2 linked regions of the Notamacropus eugenii genome follow. The protein of the gene in region 1 interacts with the protein of each later gene in a biochemical or structural test. Links are inferred from orthologs where the notes say so. Each region holds a gene or a part of one and is shown in the gene's direction. Other genes may lie near its edges.

Region 1 (10,451 bases):
TTTAATTTCAGGTGTTCATATATAGTTTCATCATTTTTTAGCTACTAAAAGCACATTGGAAATGAAATAATTTAGTCCTTTAGCCTATGTTTTGTTCATATTATACTATAAGAATTGGGAAGTAGCAAAGACTTTTTCTCCCCTTCTCTGTGGCACAGGCTAGTTTGGGGCTACAATCACAAACAAAAGGGATCAAAGAATGTCAGAGTGCTATAGAGATGATTTCTCCCCTGGTTACACACACGCGGTGGAAGGGAGGGGCAGGAATGGTAGGACTCTGATAAGCCCAGTTGCTATACTTCTTGTATATACACGAAAAGTTGTGCCCACAACTTCCTCTATCTGCAAAGGCAGATTTTAATATCCCAGACCTCAAACCAAAACTGTTCTACAGAATCCAGATCCAAGATAACTGACTAATATCTGTTTAGTAAAATGCATTGTCCAGCACTTAATACTTTCTATCATATGATGAGACTGATGGAAATGAGTGTTTCACTTTTTATCAAATTCAGTGGAAAGGAACACCATCACTGTGGACACTTGGACAGCTGACTGTCCTAGCTATTTCTAACTCAGCTTCTTTCTGTGTCCCAGACAGACAAGAGGTTGCTTCTAGTCTCATCTGAAATATTGGCACTTTTTTTCCCAGCACAGTCGTCCTTGAATTGGTTTTAGTTCTTTGCTACTTTAAAACAATGAGCCTCGAGCAATGTGACCTTCTAGACTGGGATTCTTTCAAATATGGAGGTGTTTCTAAACCCCTGTCCAGCTTTGCCTTTATTTCTCCTTCATTATCACCATCTACTCTTTCAAAGGGATGTATCTTCTGGTTGCTGAGATTTTCTCCCTGGGATTCTCAGCTATTCATTTCATCCTCTTTTATTTTCCCTCTTCATTGAAATGACAATGATCTGCAGGCCAAGTGTAACGTCTGTTTATATTTACCTCACCTGCTGCTGTTAACAAATGAAGAAGGAAGGAGGAAACTTCCCAAGTACAACAGGCAACAGATGAAATACCTACAAATTCCTAGGAGACAAAAAATCAAGAAAAGGGGCCAGTGATAAAATCCCTGTCTGCACATCTCACCAAATCCCAACTACTTACTGGGAAACTGATCTTCCACTTTAAGTAGGGATTGGGAGAGTGTCTAGAGAGAGCACTACCAATGAATAAGAAAGCCAGCGCACCACAGGCACTTATTTAGGAAGCCAGAAACTGAAAAGGACCAGTTGTATAGGCAAAAAGAGAAATGGAAAATGAGAAAAGAGACAATGTCCAAGAGGTGGTCAGCTGTATGAAGTACAATTAAGGACAACGGGGACTAAGAAAACATCACTGGATCAAGCAATTCATCCATCAGTGATATAAATCCTGGAAAGTGCAATTTCAGTCAGGGAGGAATCAGAAGCCAGATTGCAGGAGGCTAAAGATTCGGCAATAAGGAAGTAAAGACAATGAGGGTAGATGATTTTTTTTTTCTGATTGTGGGATAGAGATAGTGAAAGAGCAGAGATAAAGGACAATTGCTTGAGGGAACAGCAGGGTCAAGTGAAGGGTTTTTTTCAGCCCTAATTAGATCTGACCTTTCTATAGCTAGTGAAGGTGTGGAAGTAAATTGAGGGACTGAAAGTGCATGATCAATCGATGAATATTTACTAAATACCAGATATGTACTAGGTACTGTGTTAGGTGCTGCAGACTTTACATTGTATTGGAGAGACAGACGGAAAGATATAGATAGACAGACAGATAGATAGATAGACAAACGGACAGACAGACAGACAGATAGACAGATATAGATTTAGATAACACACAGAGACAGAGAGAGAATGGTACTCAGTTCACGGCTAGAAGGTTTGGTCCTCAGAAGAAGGCCACTACTTCCTAGGACACTGGTGTAAGAAAAGAAAGGATAAGAATGGTTGTAGAAGATGTGGGGCTAGAGATGTAGGAGTTCACAATGAATGATCTTGATTTCGTCATTAAAGTAGGAGAGGTGAGGATGATGGGGGAGGATGATAGCTCTGGGACTTTCAGAAAACGGGAAGTTTCTAAATGAAGACTCAGGGAATGGGATCAATCAATTGAGGATGAATAAAAGTTTTGCCACTTGGTTGGGAAGGTGCTGTTGACTTCAGGTGACCTCAGTCTATGGTGGAGTCAATCAGTTGTTGTTCAGTCATGTCAAACACTTCCTGACCCTATTTGGGGTTTTCTTGGCAAAGATAATGGAGTGGTTTGCCATTTCCTTCTCTGGCTCATTTTAGATGAGGAAGCTGAGACAAACAGGATTAAGTGACTTAGCCAGGGTCATACAGCTAATATGTGTCCAAGGCTGGATTTGAATTTATGGACTCCTGGCCTGGTGCTCTATGCACTATGGTGTTATCTAGTTGCCCAGAGTCAAACAGTATGATTTGGGCTATGTTCAACAGCAGTAGGTAGAATGTGTTCAAAAGAGAAGGCATATGGTGGAGGTAAGGACTAGCAGTGAAAAAGAATGACTGATGGTATTGAATTTGTCAAGAAACTGGTGAGAGGAAAGTGAGGCCAGAGCAGGGCTACTGAACCAGGAGAATAAGGTAGGGGAGGGAACAGGGTTGTAGTGAAGGTGAAGAAGTTTAGGAGGAATGAGGAGAGATGAAAAGATAGACAACGTAGATGAACTAAAAGAAATGGTTAGAATTTTAGAATAGCAACAATGGAGAAGAAATAAAGCCTAATTCTATCTAAATCTCTAATTTTCAAAGATGGAAAGGTAATTTTAATGTTGCAGGGGATTTCCAATAAGGAAATTCCATCTACTAATGCAGATGAGCCACTTGTGGAGAGTTGTCTGGAAATGAGAGTTTCAAGGCCTGGTGCAGGGTCATATAATAGAACAAATCTGAGATGGAATGTGAACCCATGTCTTCTGGATACTAAGGCTACCTCTCACAAATCATTTTCTTTTGGGTATAGACATGCCTATGAATAATAATAGGTTCCAAAGATTCATTATCAATTCAATTCTTTGTTATCTTTAGATATGGACTATTATATATACATTTTATATTATTCTATACAAATATGAATAGTACTTTTATTAATATAACATCATTTAAAAAAGGGATATTCTTTAAAATTCTTTAACAGCCATTAAAAAGGATGCTGTAGGCAAGGGAGCAAGCATTTATTAGGTGCCTACTATGTGTCAGGTACTATGTTAATAAGCACTTTACAAATATTAGAACAGAGGTTCTTAGACCAGGGCCCATTATTTCAAAAATAAATATTGATAACTGTATTACAGTATAATTGGCTTCTTTGTAATCCTATGGATTTTATTTTATGCATTTAAAAATATCCCTAAGAAGGGGCTCATGGGCTTCATCAGACTGACTGCCCCAAGGGGTCCATGGCACGTGGGCCAAAAAGGCTCAGAACCCCCTGCAAAAACAACAGTCTGACAAGACCATGCAAATGCTTTCAAGGAAATATGATAGCAGTTGATAGCGGTGAATCTTACATGATAACCCTTAACTCTTGACTAAAGTTATATTTACTAATAGGTGATGAAGCGTTTTTGAATATAATCAAAATGATATTCATCCAAAAAACCCAGACTAAGTTTTTGAACAAAAGCCTTGATGTCTTCTCTTGGTAAGTGCCCAAATTCAGTCATGCTCCAGGGGATTAGTGCTCATTATTAATATGTCCTTTCATTAATACCTTTCATCCAAGAACCTCAAAGGGCTTTTCAAACATTAATTTGTTATGTCTCATAACATCCCTGTGAGGCAGGGCAGTAGAAAGTTATCATTATCCCAGTTGTACATCAAGAGAATCTAGGGCACAGAAAGGGTCAAAGAGTGGGGAAAGAAAAGTGGGGCCAAGCTCTGCTTTATTTTCTCCTCTATAGCAGGGGCACGACGGTCAATGCCGCATTTTGGCTGTGATGTGACTTTTTGAAGCCACCTCGTGGTGCGTGAGGCGGGCCCGGATCCACTCGCAGCTCCCTGGGGACACGGATTCGGATCCCATCATCACGCATCACGCCATCAATCCACACGGACAGATCCATGCTCCCAAGGCTGGGCCGCGCTGACCCAGCCACGTGTACTTCCCAAGCTGGTTACTGTTGCAGAAGAGGTAGCGGGCCGGCCACCTGCCTCCAATCAGAGTCCAGGGCGGGTCATGGCGTCACCTCTGACGTCATGGTCTCATCCCTAGGGCCGATGACTTCAGAAGGCATTCAAGCATTAAGCGGTGCAGGACCCGGACCGTGCGCTTCCTCACGCAGTGACCCGGTAGCTGCTTAGAAAAGAGAGACAACCGAGCTCCAGTCCTGCCACTCCACCGGGGCCCAGGGCTCTCCCCTGCCCCTCAGGGGGCTCCCTCCTGGTCGGGAAGTCCTTCGGAAATCCTGGAGTCCAGCCCTAGCCCTCTCTGGAGGCCGAGGGCAGGGAAGGAGGTTCACAGGCTCCCCTGGGCGGCCCAGGAGGGAGGGGGGCGCAGCGGACCGGGGGTCCCTGGCCCCCCCGTACCAGGGCGCTGGGCTTGCGGCTCCCGAGGAGCTTTATTCAAGTGACTTATCCTCCGGGGAGTTCGGACAAGCCCTCTCCCTTCTCTGGGCCTCAGTTTCCTCGTCCATCAGGTCCCTGATCTCGCGATCTTACAGCCCCGCCCCCAGGGGGCCTCAGAGAGGGGCCAGGAAGCGCATGCGCGACTAGGGCCCGGGGCCCTCGACCGACCATTGCTGCCCCCCCCCCCCCCCCAAGCCCCGCTCGGGTTCCGCTCCTCGGCGGGGAACTCTCAGAGTTTTCGGGGCCTCATGTTCCACCTCGCCGGAGGAGGATGGGAGGACCCGATCTTTACGGCCCAAGCCAGAGCACAACCCACGACGGGAAACCTCTCGACGCCCAACATGGCGAGGTCCCCCCCCCCCCCCCCCCCCCCAGGGAGCACGAGCCCTACGTCGACGAGGAGGCCCGGACGTCGGTGACGTCATCATCCGGGAATCTCGGCTGGGATTTTGGCGGCGTGCCCGCCGGGGGAACAGCGCTGACGTCACCGCCGCGCAGGAGGAGGGCGGGGCTGCCCGAAGGGCCAGGACGCTCGCACCTGCGCAGACGGGACCGGCGCTCCACCCCCTCCCCCCAACGTTCCCTCCCCACCGCGGGCGGGGCGAGGAGCAGGGTTTCCCATCATTGTTCTCTAGCGGGGCCTGGGTCCTGCTCCTGGTTTTGGGCGTGCTCTTCGCCGGAAGTAGCTCCCCAGCTAGGGGCCCCCTCCCCGGGTGGTGCGACCCCGGCCCCCGTGCCCCGGAAGTGATCGGCAGCGGCGGCGGCGGCGGCGGCGGCGGCTGCCAGGAGGAGTCCCGAGCTGTCCGGCCCGGTCCCGGCCCCGCGGCGGCGGCGGCCTCAGCCTCGCCCCGGCCGGCCGTGCGTGCGTGCCCGCCTCCGCTCCCCGGCCGGCTGCAGGTGAGCGTGGGCTCGCGGGGCGGTGGGTGTGTCCGGGCCGGGCGGGCCAGGCCTCGGGAGCGCGGCCCGAAGGTCACCCCGCCCGCGCTGGGGCATCCATTAGGCGCCAGCTGTGTGCCGCGCTCAGGGTGGGGGCGGGGGAGGAACGGGGCGCCCCTCCTGCGGGGGTGGAGAGGAGAGCCTCCGCATCACCCATCCATTAGGCGCCTGCTGTGTGCCGGGCGGGGGGAGGGGCGGGGGAGAGCCGCAGCATCACCCATCCATTAGGCGCCTGCTGTGTGCCGGGCTGGGGAGGGGAAGAAAGGCGCGCCCCCTTTTTGGTTCCTGCTGTGTGCCGAGCCCCGAGGGGAACCACCCCTCGAGGAGGGTTTTGGAGAACCGCAGCTTCCATTAGGCGCCTACGGTGTACCAGGCTCCTGGGGTGCCGAGGAGGAAAGGGGCGCCCCTCCTTTCGGCAGGGTGGGGGAGAATCGCCTGCAGTGTACCGCGCGGTGGGGGGACCGAGGAGAGGAGGGGCGCCGCTCCTGTGAGCACCTGCTGTGTGCCAGGGCCCGGGGGCGGGGCGGGAGGAAAGAGCCGATCCTTGATGTGGGGTGTCCCCGTCCAGTGGGGACTCCTTTGGGAGGAGGAGCAGGGTTCGAGTGTGGCCCCTGGACCCCTGGGCCCGCCCTGGCCGAGCGTACCTCGGCTCGGTCACTCCTATTCCCTAGGCTCGCTTCCCACGTCCGGGGAATCCCGTATAAAGCGTCTAGACGGCCGTCCTGCCCTGGGGAAGTCCCGCGGGCGCCCCACCTGGGGGGCTTCGGGGTGCGGCAGCCCCACCTAATGCGGACCGAGCCGCTGAGGTGGGGGAAGGGCGAGCTCGGGAGGCCGGGCCGGGCTGGAGCCTCCTCGGTTGGGGTAGGGGAGCCCGATCCACTTCCAGCCTTCGGAAGGGGTTTTCAGATTGTGGGTTTTAGTGGCTTTGGGTGTGGGTGAGCTCTGCTGCTTGTTTTTGATTTGGAGGAAATGGAGGGGGGCGGGGGAGCCACCTGAAGCTCTTAGATAACCTCCCTGGGCTAGAGAAAGGTGGAAGCTTTCCGTTTGATTGAGGTGCTTTGGGCCTCAGTTTGTTCATCTGTTGAAGGCCGGAGTTAGACTAGAGAGTCTTCTAAGGGCTCTTCGCTGTCCGAACATAAAACCCAGATTTCTGAGTTCCTCTGTCATCTCCAGTGCCACACCCTAAAATACTTTTCTGGGGTGCTGACATTGCCTTTGTTTTTAACCCAAGGATTTAGTTTCTATGTGTATTTTTTTTTGAAATGGTAACATTTATATTAAGAGTTGAGAGAAAAATTGGCCTGATAGGTTCTTTATTTTATTCCAACTTGTCTGCCACAAATGGTTTTGTTGTTGAGAGTAATTCCTCAGGGAGGCAGGCTGTCATAGTGTAGGGAGAGGATTGGATTTGGAGTCAGGAAAACCTTGGTTCAGATCAGTTTTCTTATTCCTAAAATGGGATGTTAATACCTGGCATAAGTACTTACCTCACACAGGGATGTTAAGTTGCAGTAAATATGATCTCTAAATCCTGTGTGGACCAAAAAAAGATAACGCTTTGTTGGTATTACTTATTGTAAAAGCAATTTAAGGATGTGTGGTTCTAAAAATAATTCAGGAGAAGAACCTCCTGCCAGATCCTTGACTGTATTATATTTCAGGTTAAGATTTATAAATTGTTTCGGCGACTATTGTGTCCTTAACTCTATGATTATAATTAAATTGTGAAAAAGAAACGATGCTACATTTATCTTCTCAGTAAATTGAATATAAAACATTGTAAGTATTCCCATGACTCTCCAAACTGTAAACTGAATTTTGTATTACAAGTGTGCCAGAGAGTGATGCTCTTATTGTCTGGGTGCACGGACGTCACTCCCGACAGTCATTTATTCCTTTGGCGAATTATCTTCCGTTCAGTTATCGCGCTTGAACCACTTTGAATTTTGGGAGGGAGGGAGCGATTTTCCTTTGTGGCTTGGAGTTCAGCCTACTAAAAGAGGACAAAAGTCTGAGAAATAGAGCTTTTTAAAATTTCAGAAAGGAAACTCAGAGATCTTTGACTTCTTTAGTACTGGTGCTCAGTTGTGGTCATTGGTTGATGTCCTTCCTTCTCAAAAAAGACCAAATTGTTATCAGTACAGTATGTCTGTACTGTACCTGTGGCGGATCAGACCGATGCGGGCTCGGAAGGCTCCACCACAGCTTGGTCACCAAGAATCCACATGAGTATTGGGAGTGAAAATATCTCTGAATTTGTGTATCTCACACTGCTTTGGGGCTGCTGCAGTTCTGCTTTGCTCATAGAGCACAGCACCTTCTTTGCTGTGGGCATACTATACTGGGCAGTCCTGTGCCGGTGTCTCCCGTGAGAGACCTCCAGAGTGTCCTTGTGTTTCTTCTTCTGACCTCCATGTGAGTGTTTGCCTTGTGAGTCTTCTAGGCCTACGTATATATAATTATTGGAACAATGTAGCCACCCTGTCAGGGTTGAACTCTCTGCCAGAGAGTTTGAATGCTTGACAGTTTAGTTCAAGAAAGGACCTTGTACCTTATCTTACCAGATGATCTTCAGAATTTTCCTGTGACAATCAAAGCTGTTTAGAAACACATAATAAGGGTTTGGGGATCATGGCTTAAAAATATAGGAATGATAGTCTCCTGACTAGGACTAGGGTATATAAATTCTAGAAAAAAAGATTTTCATCAGTTGTTATAAGTGAAATGAAAAGGGCAGGTGAAAACTACCAACCTCTCTCTAAGCAGCGACCCCTCGAGGGTGATTATAGAGTAGGAAGAGTGGCCACAGACACACTTAGTGCTTTACAGGAGAGACCCAGGCAGTAAAGACCAGCCCCAAGCCTGCCTATGTGGTCACGTCCTCAAAACCTGCAGTGGGGCAGACCTCGTGCCGAAGCACCAGACTTGCTCCTTGAGTTCAGCTAAACTGATGATTTCCAAAGAAACAGAGTGGGTCAGAAGTGTGCTGGCAATACATACCTTTGGAGAGACACAGGGACCCGAGCTTTGGGGTACACAGGAAGGGAACTGAGAGAGTGTGAGTGTGGCCTGGAGACCACTTAGGTAAAAGGAAGAAGAGGGCAAACAGAATGTAGCCCTGGCATGACAGCATCGATCAGAATAACCAGCAAGCATTGGGTGAGGTGTTGGGGATTCAGAGACAAAAGAAAACTAGACCTGCCAGCAAAGAGCTGGGTGGGTTGGGGTGAATGACCCACGAAAAAGCTGAGCTTTGAGGAGTATTTTTAGAGCAGAAGAATGGAGGAGGGAGGAAGAGTTATTGAAGGGAAGGGCCTCCGAGGCCTTGGGAGTCTCCCATACAAAAAGGGTGATGAAGGGCAGCCATAAGATCCATTTGACTGAACAGTGACACCCAGTGGAACATGCTGCGCCTGTGCAGGTAAGTGGCAACAAGGGAGCGAAGGACTTTGGGACACCCAGCTGAGGAGGTGGTGTTTGATCCTAGGGGTTATTGGGAACTGTTCACTCTCAGATGCACAAAAACGTTTCAGACCCAGTCCTATCTGCCTTGCCCTGACTAGCATTGCCTGTCCAGCTCACTTGCAGCTGAAACCTGTGTTGGGGCCCCCAGTAGTGTGGGAGTAACTCAAGAGTTGGTGCCATCTTTTCTGTTGGGGAGTAGGCATTTCATAAATACTTTTTCATTGTAGAGGACTTCATCTAGACATTTGGAACTGTTCCTCTGCCAAAATAACCGGAGGCGATAAAGTATTGTCCTGACTTAATTATCAAACTATCCTGGTGGTTTAGGAAATGATTAGGGAGGCTGGACTGCTTTCCTGGACTAAATGAATTCAGACCAAAAAGAAGAGAGCTCGAAACCAGTACCTTTGTGGTACTGATAGCAAAGAAGAGGAAAGCTCTATGTAGGCTTCCATAGCAAACATTGAGTACAGCAAATTTCAAGTGGGTTCAGAGAAAATCCCATGACCTAAAGTTCTTGAGGACAACAGAACCCAGTGAGGAGTAGGGTGGTGCTCTGAGAAAGGAGATTCTGAGGAGAGAAGTGAAACAGTTGGAGTGAGGAGCTCTCAGGAATCATCCATCTCAACTCAGATTTGATTTGATTTTTGTACTAACTTTATTAATACTTTTTGTTTTTAAGGAGAGCAACTAGACCTGATTTCACTCCTGTAAGTAGATGGTGTCAAAAGCTCCCAAGGGCAGCTGGACCAGATTAAAATGTAATTGGGAAATAGTTAACAAATTAAAATATAATAAAACACATTTAATATTAATATATGATTTCTTTAGTTAGTTTATATGGCTGCTTTTCTCTGAGTCTGATACCTGTGGTATAGATCTTACCCTGGTGAGGAAAATCCCACTGTTAGTGCCTCCTGGGACCTTCTCTGCAACTTAGATTCTTAAAGAATGTCTTTGAGACATTGAGGGGCCACATCCCAAGTCCGACCCCTCTGCATCAGTTTTTTCCCATATACCTTTCCCTACTTCTTCCCCCGCCCCATCCATCTAGTGATGCACCCCTATAGCAGAACCTACTGACCCCGTGACCAGGTCTGACAGTGTATGTTGGGTTTTGCAGCTAGAGCCCTCCTACCCCTGGTGAAAAGAGGGACATCCGTTTCCTGATTTCTCAGCAGAGCTCAAATTCGAGAGTTGGTTACTCAGACTTTGGTTTCATTTTAATGAACTTTCCGTTTACGTTATTGTCATTGTGTATTTTGTATTCATCTGCTTACATCACTGCGTCTGATTGAGCCTCAGAATTCCTTGTGTTCACCCTTTCTTATGGTGTAATGATGTTCTCTGCATTTCATACACCACAACTGGTTCAGCTTTTCTTCAGTCCAGAGCAGAGGTTTCCAGAGTTTGAGACACCATCACCTGGGGGGTGCAGTTGTGGGGGTGTTGGATAAAATAAGGGTGGTGGAAGCATAA
Region 2 (10,458 bases), on another chromosome or scaffold:
TTCATGGCACTAGGCATAGGATAATAACTTGACAGACCTTCTCAAGTTTGTCTTGAGGTTACATCAAACTAAGCCTTCAGAAAAGACATGCCATTTGAGATTGAACATGTGGGTCCCTTTGATTACAGGAACTGTATTATGTTAGTTGGGATATTTATAGGGGCATGAGAAGCCTTGATATTTGTGATATCTCAAGCTGGAAGGGAAGCATTATAGAACCTTAAAGACAGTTAAACTTGGATTCAAATTTCACTTCTAATTCATAGTGTCTGCACACTGGGCAGATCATTTAAACATTCTGCAGCTAGGTTGCCCAACGGATAGAGCACAGGGTCTAAAGATAGGAAGACCTGGGCTCAAATTCAATCTCAGACACTTGGTAGCTGTGTGACCCTGGGCTTCAGTTTCCTCAACTGTAAAATGGGAATAATAATAGAATCCACCTCCCAAGATCATATAAGGATGACATAAGAAAATATTTGTAAAGCACAATACCTGGCATGTAGTAGGCACTTAATAAATTCTTATTTCCTTCTCCTTCTTACTTAGCCTCTTCTAAAACTCTAGGCAGCTCTTTAAAAACCATAAAGTACAAAGAAAGTACAGACTTGAATTATTTTAAGGAATTTCCTCACCTAGGTGCTCCCTATCTATATTAATGAAATTGTGAGTCTGGTTCACAATGCAAGATAGCATTGTTTCCGTTTTTAATCTTTTCCATTAAACTATGCTTTGCTAGTTTCATAGCTTAAACTATTTTTAGCAAGGTTGTTATTTTCTTTACTATATTCCTAATGGCTAAGTACAGTGTTAAAAAATAAGAAAAATATATCTTCCTTGCAAATAGATATAGATAAAAATTGATCCTTGTGGAGTTACTCCTTCCCCACCCCTACACCATCCTGAGTACAGTAAAAAAAAAAAAAACTAAACTAAAAAATTAAACAAACAAAAAACCCTGTCCTCTTCCTTCTCTCTTTTAATAGAGAATCAGAATATAATTTTAAATGTGTACAGAGAATTAATTCATACCTAATTTGGAGTTATAGCAAAAAGAAAACTGTCCTAAAATTTCATAGCCTTTCAATAAGAATAAAAATTTAAATTTTGACAGCAAAAGTGGTATTAATAAGGATGATGGGCTATTGTTATCCATATAAAATAAAATGGAAAATGGGCAATGGCACAAAGGAAAACACAAACATGAAGTATCTTTGCAAATGTGTCTCTCTGAGACATCCTGACTTAAAACACAAAACTGAAGTGGATATAAAATACTAAGGAGTAGAAATATCAGTCCATGTATCAGTTTTGTACAGCTGTCAACAAGGTATAAACATATGACAACTCATCTTACGTGAATCGGTTATCTAAAACATGTAAACCAAACAATGCAAGATAAAGGAGATTCTTCAAATTTCTTGCCCCACCCCTATGAAGAAAAATTTTATCCTCAATAAAATAATACAACTTGAAAGAGACTGTAAAAGTACATGTCTCATGGACACTATAACTAAGAAATTTTAAAAAAAAACCTCTCTTAGAGAGCATCGGACCTCCTTATCTGACTATGCAAGAGAAGTATATATGGCAAACTGCCTGCTTCCTTCATGCTCAGGAGAGACACATTTCAGTCCCTGTAGTTAGCAAGCCCAATCACTTTCTAACATGGTTCTCCAGTTACAGACTCCAGTAATAATCTTAAGAATTGTCAAAAGCAGAATACCAGTTAACAATCTTCTTACAATGAGTGGCTGACTCACAGAAGAAAAATGTGTTATTTTTTTAAAAATTAGAATGCCATAGTCAGCATTATTCTTTATATACAAGTGACTGTATCAACATACAGAAGGAATAAGGGAGTAAGGGGAAAAATAAATCTTTGAAATATGGCTGAAGAGATGGGGTGATGTAAGCTGAGTTATACAGATTGAATAGGTGATAAAACACAAAAGGACCCTAAAAATTCAAATGCCTCTTCCATCTTTCTCTTCTCTATCTACTACCAAAGAAGTCTAATTCCTTTTGTAACCTCCGTGTGAGCCTTACTCCCATTCAGACGCTTCTTTGAAATCTTAACATGCAAATTCAGCTCCAACTTTTAACTTCTGCTTGATAGTGGGGAGGAAGGGGGATGCGGAATATCCACTGGTTATGTGTCAAAATTCAAAACAAGGCATCATAAGAGGATCTTTTGAAGAGAAGGGAGATTTAGCTAGGGGTATACCTTAATCCATCACTAATTCTAGGGCAGATGAGTGATGTAGACGTATGAAATATCAAGTTATTAAAGTTAAGATTTAAAAGAAAGAACAACAGGTTTTTCCCATGTTCTGTGCAGAAACAATATAGTTATAGTCTTCATGCTGTCCTCATTTCCTCTTCTCCTCCTTTCCATGATTTCTCAGGGTGTTTCTCAGTAGTTAGCTAACTGTTAAATCTGATCCTGAGTTACCTGCTGTCAGGCAGTCCTCGTACTGTGACCTCATTTACCTCCCTAGGAGTCGAGTTAAAATTAATGTCAAAGAATGTAAATTCCAGGATGGAAAAAGGAAGAGGATAAAAGTATGAGGATGACATTTAAAATAAAAGAATAAGGAGTACTGCAAACATTTCTCCATAAAATGAAGTATGTGATTTACCTTCTCTGCACCTTGGGAATGGACTCCCTGAGGAAGGAATGAGTTCTTTATTACTAGAGCTCTTTCAATGGAAAATAGGTGACCCTTCATTTGGAATAGGGTAGAGGGGATTCCTAGCTAGGGACCAATTGAACCAGATTACATTTCTCTGGAGTTCTCCCAATGTAGAAGAGATGACCATTCATCTGGATAGCATAGAGAGGATTCCTACTCAGGGACAAGTTAAAACAAAAGGTCTCTTAGTATTTGAGTCATAATGAGGTTAAATTCTTAGGATCACAGATTCAGAGCTAGCAGGGACCTTAGAGATCCTCTAGTCTCTCTCCTTTTTCAGAGGAAGAAACTAAAGCTCCGAGAGGTAAAGGGACTTGCCCAACACCACACAGGTTTAATGACAGAACTGAGATTTGAATCCTACTTCTCTAATACCAAATCTAATATTCATACCACGTTGCTTCCCAAACTCCAATGTTTCTTCCAACTGATATTGAGGAATTATATTATTCTATTTCAGTGCAATGGAAGTGATCACATTTGCCATTAGAACATATGTGACTACTTTTAGAAAACTTTTCAAGACCTGAAGACTAATTTAATCTTTTAAATAATGGTAGCAATAAAAAAACAGTAGGAGATCATCACAACCCAGACTAACATAGTTTTATTTTTTTTTATAAAGCCACCTTTTCTGAGTTAGTTTTATTACCATTAGAGAGAAGTCAGAGACATAATTAATTTTTACATTATTTTGAGTAAAGTTAAGGAAGAGCACTTCATTTTTATAATCATCATTTTGTAGGTAAATAAAGTGAATGCTTATGTTATTGAGAAAGAGTGAGTATTTATCTACAAAATGTTTCTGACTGAGAAACATTAGAATTTCCTTCAAGAAAAATGAGTGGTCAAATGTCACAAAGCAGTAAGAAACCACAATGTCCTGTTACTAATAATTAAGAAAGTGTGTAAGTCTCACAAGAGAAAGTTGTAAGGTTTTGGTATCATATAAAAACTATATAGCCTTTAACTCTTATTTTTATTCATCAGATATCTTGAAGGAATAATGCTCTGATGAACTAAAATTGTTTCAATTCATAATTTATTAAACTGTTCTTCAGAATGTGGAAGGTAGATTTAACAAAACAATTGAATTACTTGGTAGGTGCTGCCATTTTTCAAGTATCAAGAAAAGATTCTGAAGGGTACAAACCTCATTTAAATTTTAAGAAGGACCATGTTTTTAGGTTTCCTGAAGAAATGACAACAATGTATATTAGAAGTATAGATGTTAGATATTCTGGATACATGCATATATATTTCTTCCAACATTAATTGGTCCACATTGAAAACATTAAAAATGCTTAATTTTTGAAAGGTGATTAAAATGTACACTTTTACAGAAGGGACCTATATTAGAGAATACTTTAGCCACAGCAACCACCTTTTCTGGCTTAGCATGGTTTTTCCTCATGTAAATAATGCTTATGTAATTGTAGCCATAAAAATAATCTAGCACATTGTACTGTTTTTGGTTTAGCTCAAAAATGCACTATTTTAAAGATGATACAGTATGCTCGAAAACAGGTATTATAGACAAAGTCTTCGGTGATCCCAATGCTGTTCTCTCACTTCTGAATTATTTTGTTTTTTCTCCCTTATGATACTAGTACATGGGAGTTCTGATTACAAATATTTATTGTAGGAGTAAAAAAGTAGTTTATTTACAAAGCAAATTAAATGTACTTTTTGGAGTTAGTTTCTTAGTTGAAAAAGAATACTGAATGAAGGGTAGGTATATGTCTAGTATCCTATCTTCAAACAGGTTAATTTGATTTTGACTGAAAGGATATATGTAAAGACAGAATGAGTGCCTTACCTACACATAATAAGAGTAATAGGTGCACATAGTAAGACTTGCACATAGTAGGAGCTTAATGAATACTGTTTTTTAAAAAAATATTTTAAAAATATTTTTATTTTATTTTACTTTAAAATGTTGCATTTGAACTGTCACAGTCAGTACATGGATGAGTGATATTTTTGACTGAGCTCATGAAAATGTAGTTAAATATTTTCAGTTGTACAAAATAAATGAACTTTTTTTGTGTGTATGTGAGTATTGTTTAGAAAAACACTGCCTCTGGGTCAGCTGTGCACAGATTCCTTGGACAGGTCTTTAAAGGAAAGAAGTATTTTGTTACAAGCCAAGAAAGGAAAGCAATGTGAGATTTCTAAATGCTATTGAAGATCGTTTAAAAATGCAAAAGGCTCTCGGATCTGTTTGATGTGGAGAAGTTGACTGGACTTGTTCAGGAAGAACATTCAAAATGCTTTGTGCATTAATTTATGTCTTATTTCTCTTAAAGTATGCCAAAAATCATTTGGGGGCAGGCACAAGTACAGCAATGCATTTCATTCTCTTTTTTTACTTTCAATGATAAATGTTTTTTACTTTACAATATGCCGTTTCTGTCCTACAGTTACACTTATTGAGTGAATTACTGCCAAATTCAGTCAATAGTTACTGGTCCATGTTTGTTTAAAGCAAAAGTTTAAAAAAGCTGAAAAGTCTTTTAACTTTTTTCACTGGCTATTAGTCAGTTTTATGTTATATTACAGTATCACTAGTCATTTTTCATTAATCAGTGGCGTAGGGCTTATTCTTACAAATAAGCTAGTAAAATAATACGGAAAAATGACTGAAATTCTAATTCAAATTAAAATCTTCTAAACTAAAAAAAAAAAATTCCTCTAAATATGTTTTTCTAGGAAAGCAAATACAGCCAACCCCAAATCTAGTATCACTGCTGAAGACATTGCAAGAGGTATTTTAAAATACAGAAGATACATAAAAGTACAAAAGCAATTTGAGGACTTTTTATTATGCAAACGAAACATGAATTAAAAGCGTATAAATTTCTAGGATGTGATCATAATGACATAATTAGAAAGGAATTTTTAATTTGTTCTAAACTGAAACTCTAAGAGAAATCCTTACAGTGTTAGAGAGTTGGAAAATTATTACTTAGGAAGAAGAACTTTTAAAAATGTTTTCAGGAAAGAAAGCCAGTTAGCAATCCATCAGCTCTTAAATATATTATTCCTGTCAGCATATTCATTTGGTTTTGTTAGCAGATTGAATATGCATCATGTTCAATATACTTAAAATGCAACAACTATGCAAATTAGCATGGCCCCACACATTCAGGATCTGAAAGAAATCAGTCCCAGCATAAATGAAATTACTCTGTGGACAAGTAGGAATGCAATGAAAAATTGAAAATCCAGCCCACATACTTAGGGCACCTTTCCCCCAGTAGAGTTATTTCACAATAAGACTACCATGTGATTTTCATTTTTCTCTCTTTCACATTTTCTGGCATGAGGTTGAGGAGAGAGGGTGAAGGTGGGAATGACATGACACAGTGGATTGAGTCTGGGCATGGGCCTGGAATCAGGAAGACCTGGGTTCAAATTTGGCCTCAGAAAACTTCCTAGCTGCATGATCCTGGGTAAGTTACTTAACTTCTGTTTGTTTCAGTTTCCTCCATTATAAAATGGGAATAATAACAGTACCTATCTTGCAGGATTGTTATAAGGATCAGATGAGATAACTGCAAAAAGAATTTAGCACAGTACCTGGCACAGAGTAGATGCTATATAAATGCTTTTTTCCTGCCCCTTCTTCATCCTTATGATTTGAAATCAGAGAAAAGTGGTATGACTGGGGGCAGGTACAGGGGAGTACAGAGAAACGAATGATGGGGAGATACTTGAGGAAAGAGAAGGAGAAACTGTGGAGACACAGGGCAGCCAGAACGCTCCTTTTGGATTGAGATGAATGTTGAAGTTTGTGGTTTTTTTTAAAAAAATTGATTGCTATGTATTAGATACTTTTATGAAATCAAGCATTAAGATCCCCTATACACCAAGATGCTTGCTTCATGTGTAACCTTGGACAAATCTTTTAACCTCCCTGGGCCTCAGTTTATCTAGCTTTAAAATGAAATGGGTTGGATTTGAAGACTTCTAAGTTGATTTTCACAAATAAAATCCTTCAATACAAAAGCTTTCAGCTTAAGAGCTGGAAGATTTGTGTGATCTGCTACCAGCGAGATATTAAGAGTAAAAGGCATGGTGGGTAAGATCAATGCTACACATATATTAGGGGTCATATCAGATGATTGGAGAAAATCGGCCACTCAGTCAAAACTTGGTAAAAAGAATAGCTTGCTAAAATATACATTAATAGGATCTCAGATTCTAAAGTTCATCCTCCGCATTTGTAGATAAGAATGCTAAATCCCAGAGAAGTGGCTTACTCAAAACTGCACAGCTCTTGGTCAGTTCTCCTGAATTTCTGCTCAGTGCTATTTCCATGACAGCACAGTTATTTTTATATGTATGGGCTGGTTTGGGGCTCCTTATTCCCTTCCCTGTGGCTCTTTGGCTGTTTCATAGCTCTAATTTCACCCAAGGGTGAAGAAAAGCAGGAGAAAAAAGGGATGCTCTCCAAGGCAATCTATTGTGCTGTGCTTGCCGTTTCAGCAAAAGGTTATGGTTAGGAGAAAAGTTGAATCTGTTGGCTAAAATGAGGTACTGGAAATGATCTGTGGATTTTAATTATTCATGCATTCCTCATTCCCCTGTTGCCATGACTAATCTGAAGTTTGTGGTAAGCTGTCCTGGCTGGGTCACGTGAGAATGGACGCAGCAGAAAACTTGAACATCTGCTTGAAAGTGAACTGAAGGAAGGCTCTTGTGAACAGGGTGGACAGACAAAGTATTTCAAGAAAGCATAGCCTGAAGCGATATCATTACACTGTGAACAGCTGGGATGCAACTGGAGGCCAGAGGACAAGCTGCCATGCTTCCATCTGACATGGAGGTGGAGCTTCCTCAATTATCTTAGCTGCTATCATATTGGATACTTATTAGGTGCATGTCTCTGTGTCCACTCCTTAGAAGAATTCAGTGGAACACCGAAGTGGTGAGGAGCCTACCTTCTGAGAACTTCTAGTCCTTTACTGTTTTCATGCAAAGCAAAGTGCTAAAAGGAAGAATTAAAAAAAAAAAACTGGGCTAAAATTTGCACTACTTTGGGTTGAGGTGACGAGGGATCAGTGGGTCTGACATCAATTTGCCAATGCTGATAAGAACGTGTTTCTGATACCATGGGAAGTGATATCATTAATGTGTGGTCTAAAGTCCTACCAGGACTCAAATGAAAATCTGGAGGCCAGCTAAACATGAAAAACTAAATGGATAAGAATATAAATATCTAAACCTAGATTTGGCAGGTAGTAAAAGAACTTTGTCCACCCTTTTGCTTCTGCTATAATAGGGAGGAGTCAGTGATATTGCTGGACAATTTTCGAATTAAGTGATCTAAATCAATAAAGATGTCCAGCAGTCGCATGAGTGGTTAACATGCATCAGAGGCTATATGCTTGTTTCTGAAATGAATTAATACTGACATTGGAAATTCCTAATTCCAACAACTAACTGGTGAAGTGCATAGATAAGAATGTTGGCCTTGGAGTCAGGAAGTACTGAATTCAAATCCTGACTCAAACGCTTAGTAGCTGTGACATCCCTTCCTCACATTCCCTCTCTACCTCCTCAACTCACATCTTTCTTAACCTCTGTTTATTCATTTATAAACTGAGGATAAAAATAGTATCTACCTTGTAGGGCTGTTGTGAGGTTCAAATGATGTAATATTGTACGGTGCTTTGCAAATCTTAAAGCACCATACAAATATGACCTATTATTTATTATTATTATTTCCCAACTGAAAGTACTCAGGACAAGTACTTTTTGTATTTTTTTAGTAGCAAGAAGAAAAATAGTTTATAGAGTCTTTGTTACTGGTTGAGATCCACCATTTTAGTGGGATCCCAAGTGGGAAGAAGCAATACTTGACATTTATGAAAATACTTTACTATACCATTGCATTTAATCTAACTGCCTGGTACATAATAGGTAGTTAACTTTTTGTTGATTGATGGATTAAAAGGAGCTGGGACTGTCTCAAGCAGGCAATAAGAAGCCCCTAAAGATTTTTGAGTGGTAAAGTAACATTAATAGACCCAAGCAAAAAAAAAAAATTAGTCTGGTAACAATATAAATGATAGAATGGAAAAAGTCTTGGGAGTTTTGGAAGACAAGGAGCCAATGAAGGATAGAGAAAAGGAGTTAGCAAAGTAGGAGAAAAATCTAGAAAATATGTAGTCTGTGAAGCCAAGGGATTAGAGAAAATCCAGTAGGAGGGAGTAGTCATCAGTGACAAGTGCTGCTGAGACAGGTGAGGACTGGAAAAAGTCAGCTGGTTATTAGGTGGTCATTCTTAAACTTTTGGGGGATCACTTCAGCAGAGTTACAAGGAATAATCAGTAAGTCTGAATAAGCATTAATTACACAAACAGTGATAGGCAATGTGCTAAGCTCTGAGGATACCTAGAAGACATTCAACACGGTTCCTGCATTCATGGAGCTTATATTCTAATAGGGGAACTAATATGGAAATAACTGTATAAACAAGAAATATTAAGAAGAAATGGAAGGTTATCTCACAATGAAGGCCTGGGGTTGTTTAGGAGATTGAGGAAGAAAAGGGAGGTGAAGGCCTCCTGCAGGAGATGGGATTTGAGCTGAATCCTGAAAGAAGCAAGGGAAGCTAGGAGCTGGAGGTGAGGTTGGAGAGCACCCAAGGCATAGGGGAAATAGTGAAAAGGTAAGGAGGAGATAAAGTACTCTCTGTGAGAATCCAGTGTTGCTGAATGGTAGAGTGTATAGAGGAAGGTAAAAACATGTGAAGTCCGGAAGGGCAGGAAGGGGTTAGATTTTGAAGGACTTTCATCCTGGTGGAAGTCAGATTGCAAGAAGTTAAGGAGAGAATAAGGGTTGGGATAGGAATGATGTAAGAGCATATGATATAGGCAAATTTCTTCGTTAAGTTTAGTAGTAAAGGAAAGAGATTTTTCATTGGCAACTAAATGAGGTGAAAGGATCAAGGAATTTTTTTTTCAGATTAAAGAGACCTGAGAAAATTTGCAATTTTCTCTTTTTAAGTGAATAATGATTTATTTTTATCATTTCCAATCTTTGCTCTTTTTGTTTGTGGTGTTCTACTAAATAAATATCTTTATAAGGTTTTATTTCATTTTTTATTTCTTTCCTCTTCCTTTTTATTTCTAGCCTACAGTAAGAATTTTCCAAAGATTTGTTTCCATTTGAAGAATGTTTTTACACTTTTAGATTTGGATTTAGAAAATGTAAAATTTTCTTAAAATTTAATTTATTTGTTTTCAATTTTCAACAATCACTTCCATAAGTCTTAAATTTTCTCCTCCTCCCTTTTCCCCTTCCTCCCCAAGATGGCATACAATCTTATATGGGTTATACATATACATTCTTATTAAACACAGAAAATGTAAAATTTTTTTTTGCATGTGGTAATTTATCATTTGCATGCTGGAAGTGATAGAAAACTGAAAATCAAATGTGATTTATTTTTGTTTAGGACTTAGAAATAAGGATTTGGGGAAGGACAATTATCATTAGTCAAAAGGTATTTTCTCCCCTACCTTATATCAAAACTGATTCTGGCAAATTAGTATCACAGGCTTTAGAGACAAGAGGGATTTTGGGGATTATCAAGTCCAACGACCTCATTTTACAGGATGAAAAAGACCCAGAATATGAAGTGACTTCCAAGGTCAGATAGGTAGTAATGAGCAGAACCAGGATTTGAAACTATCTTCTCAGATTGCAAATCCAGTATTCTTTCCATGACCCCATGCCGGTCCAGTATTAA

The links.
Region 2: the proteins of RALA (region 1) and EXOC2 are reported together in a solved structure, tested with the Homo sapiens proteins (2 studies listed by BioGRID, with this or other methods). The link is inferred for Notamacropus eugenii from reciprocal best matches to the Homo sapiens genes RALA and EXOC2.

Annotation. Positions count from the first base shown.
Region 1 is NC_092874.1:480,933,563-480,944,013, forward strand, and holds the start of RALA (ras-related protein Ral-A), read left to right. Parts: upstream 1-5,338; 5' UTR 5,339-5,468; intron 5,469-10,451. UniProt on the Homo sapiens protein: Multifunctional GTPase involved in a variety of cellular processes including gene expression, cell migration, cell proliferation, oncogenic transformation and membrane trafficking.
Region 2 is NC_092875.1:171,538,809-171,549,266, forward strand, and holds the start of EXOC2 (exocyst complex component 2), read left to right. Parts: upstream 1-6,070; 5' UTR 6,071-6,151; intron 6,152-10,458. UniProt on the Homo sapiens protein: Component of the exocyst complex involved in the docking of exocytic vesicles with fusion sites on the plasma membrane.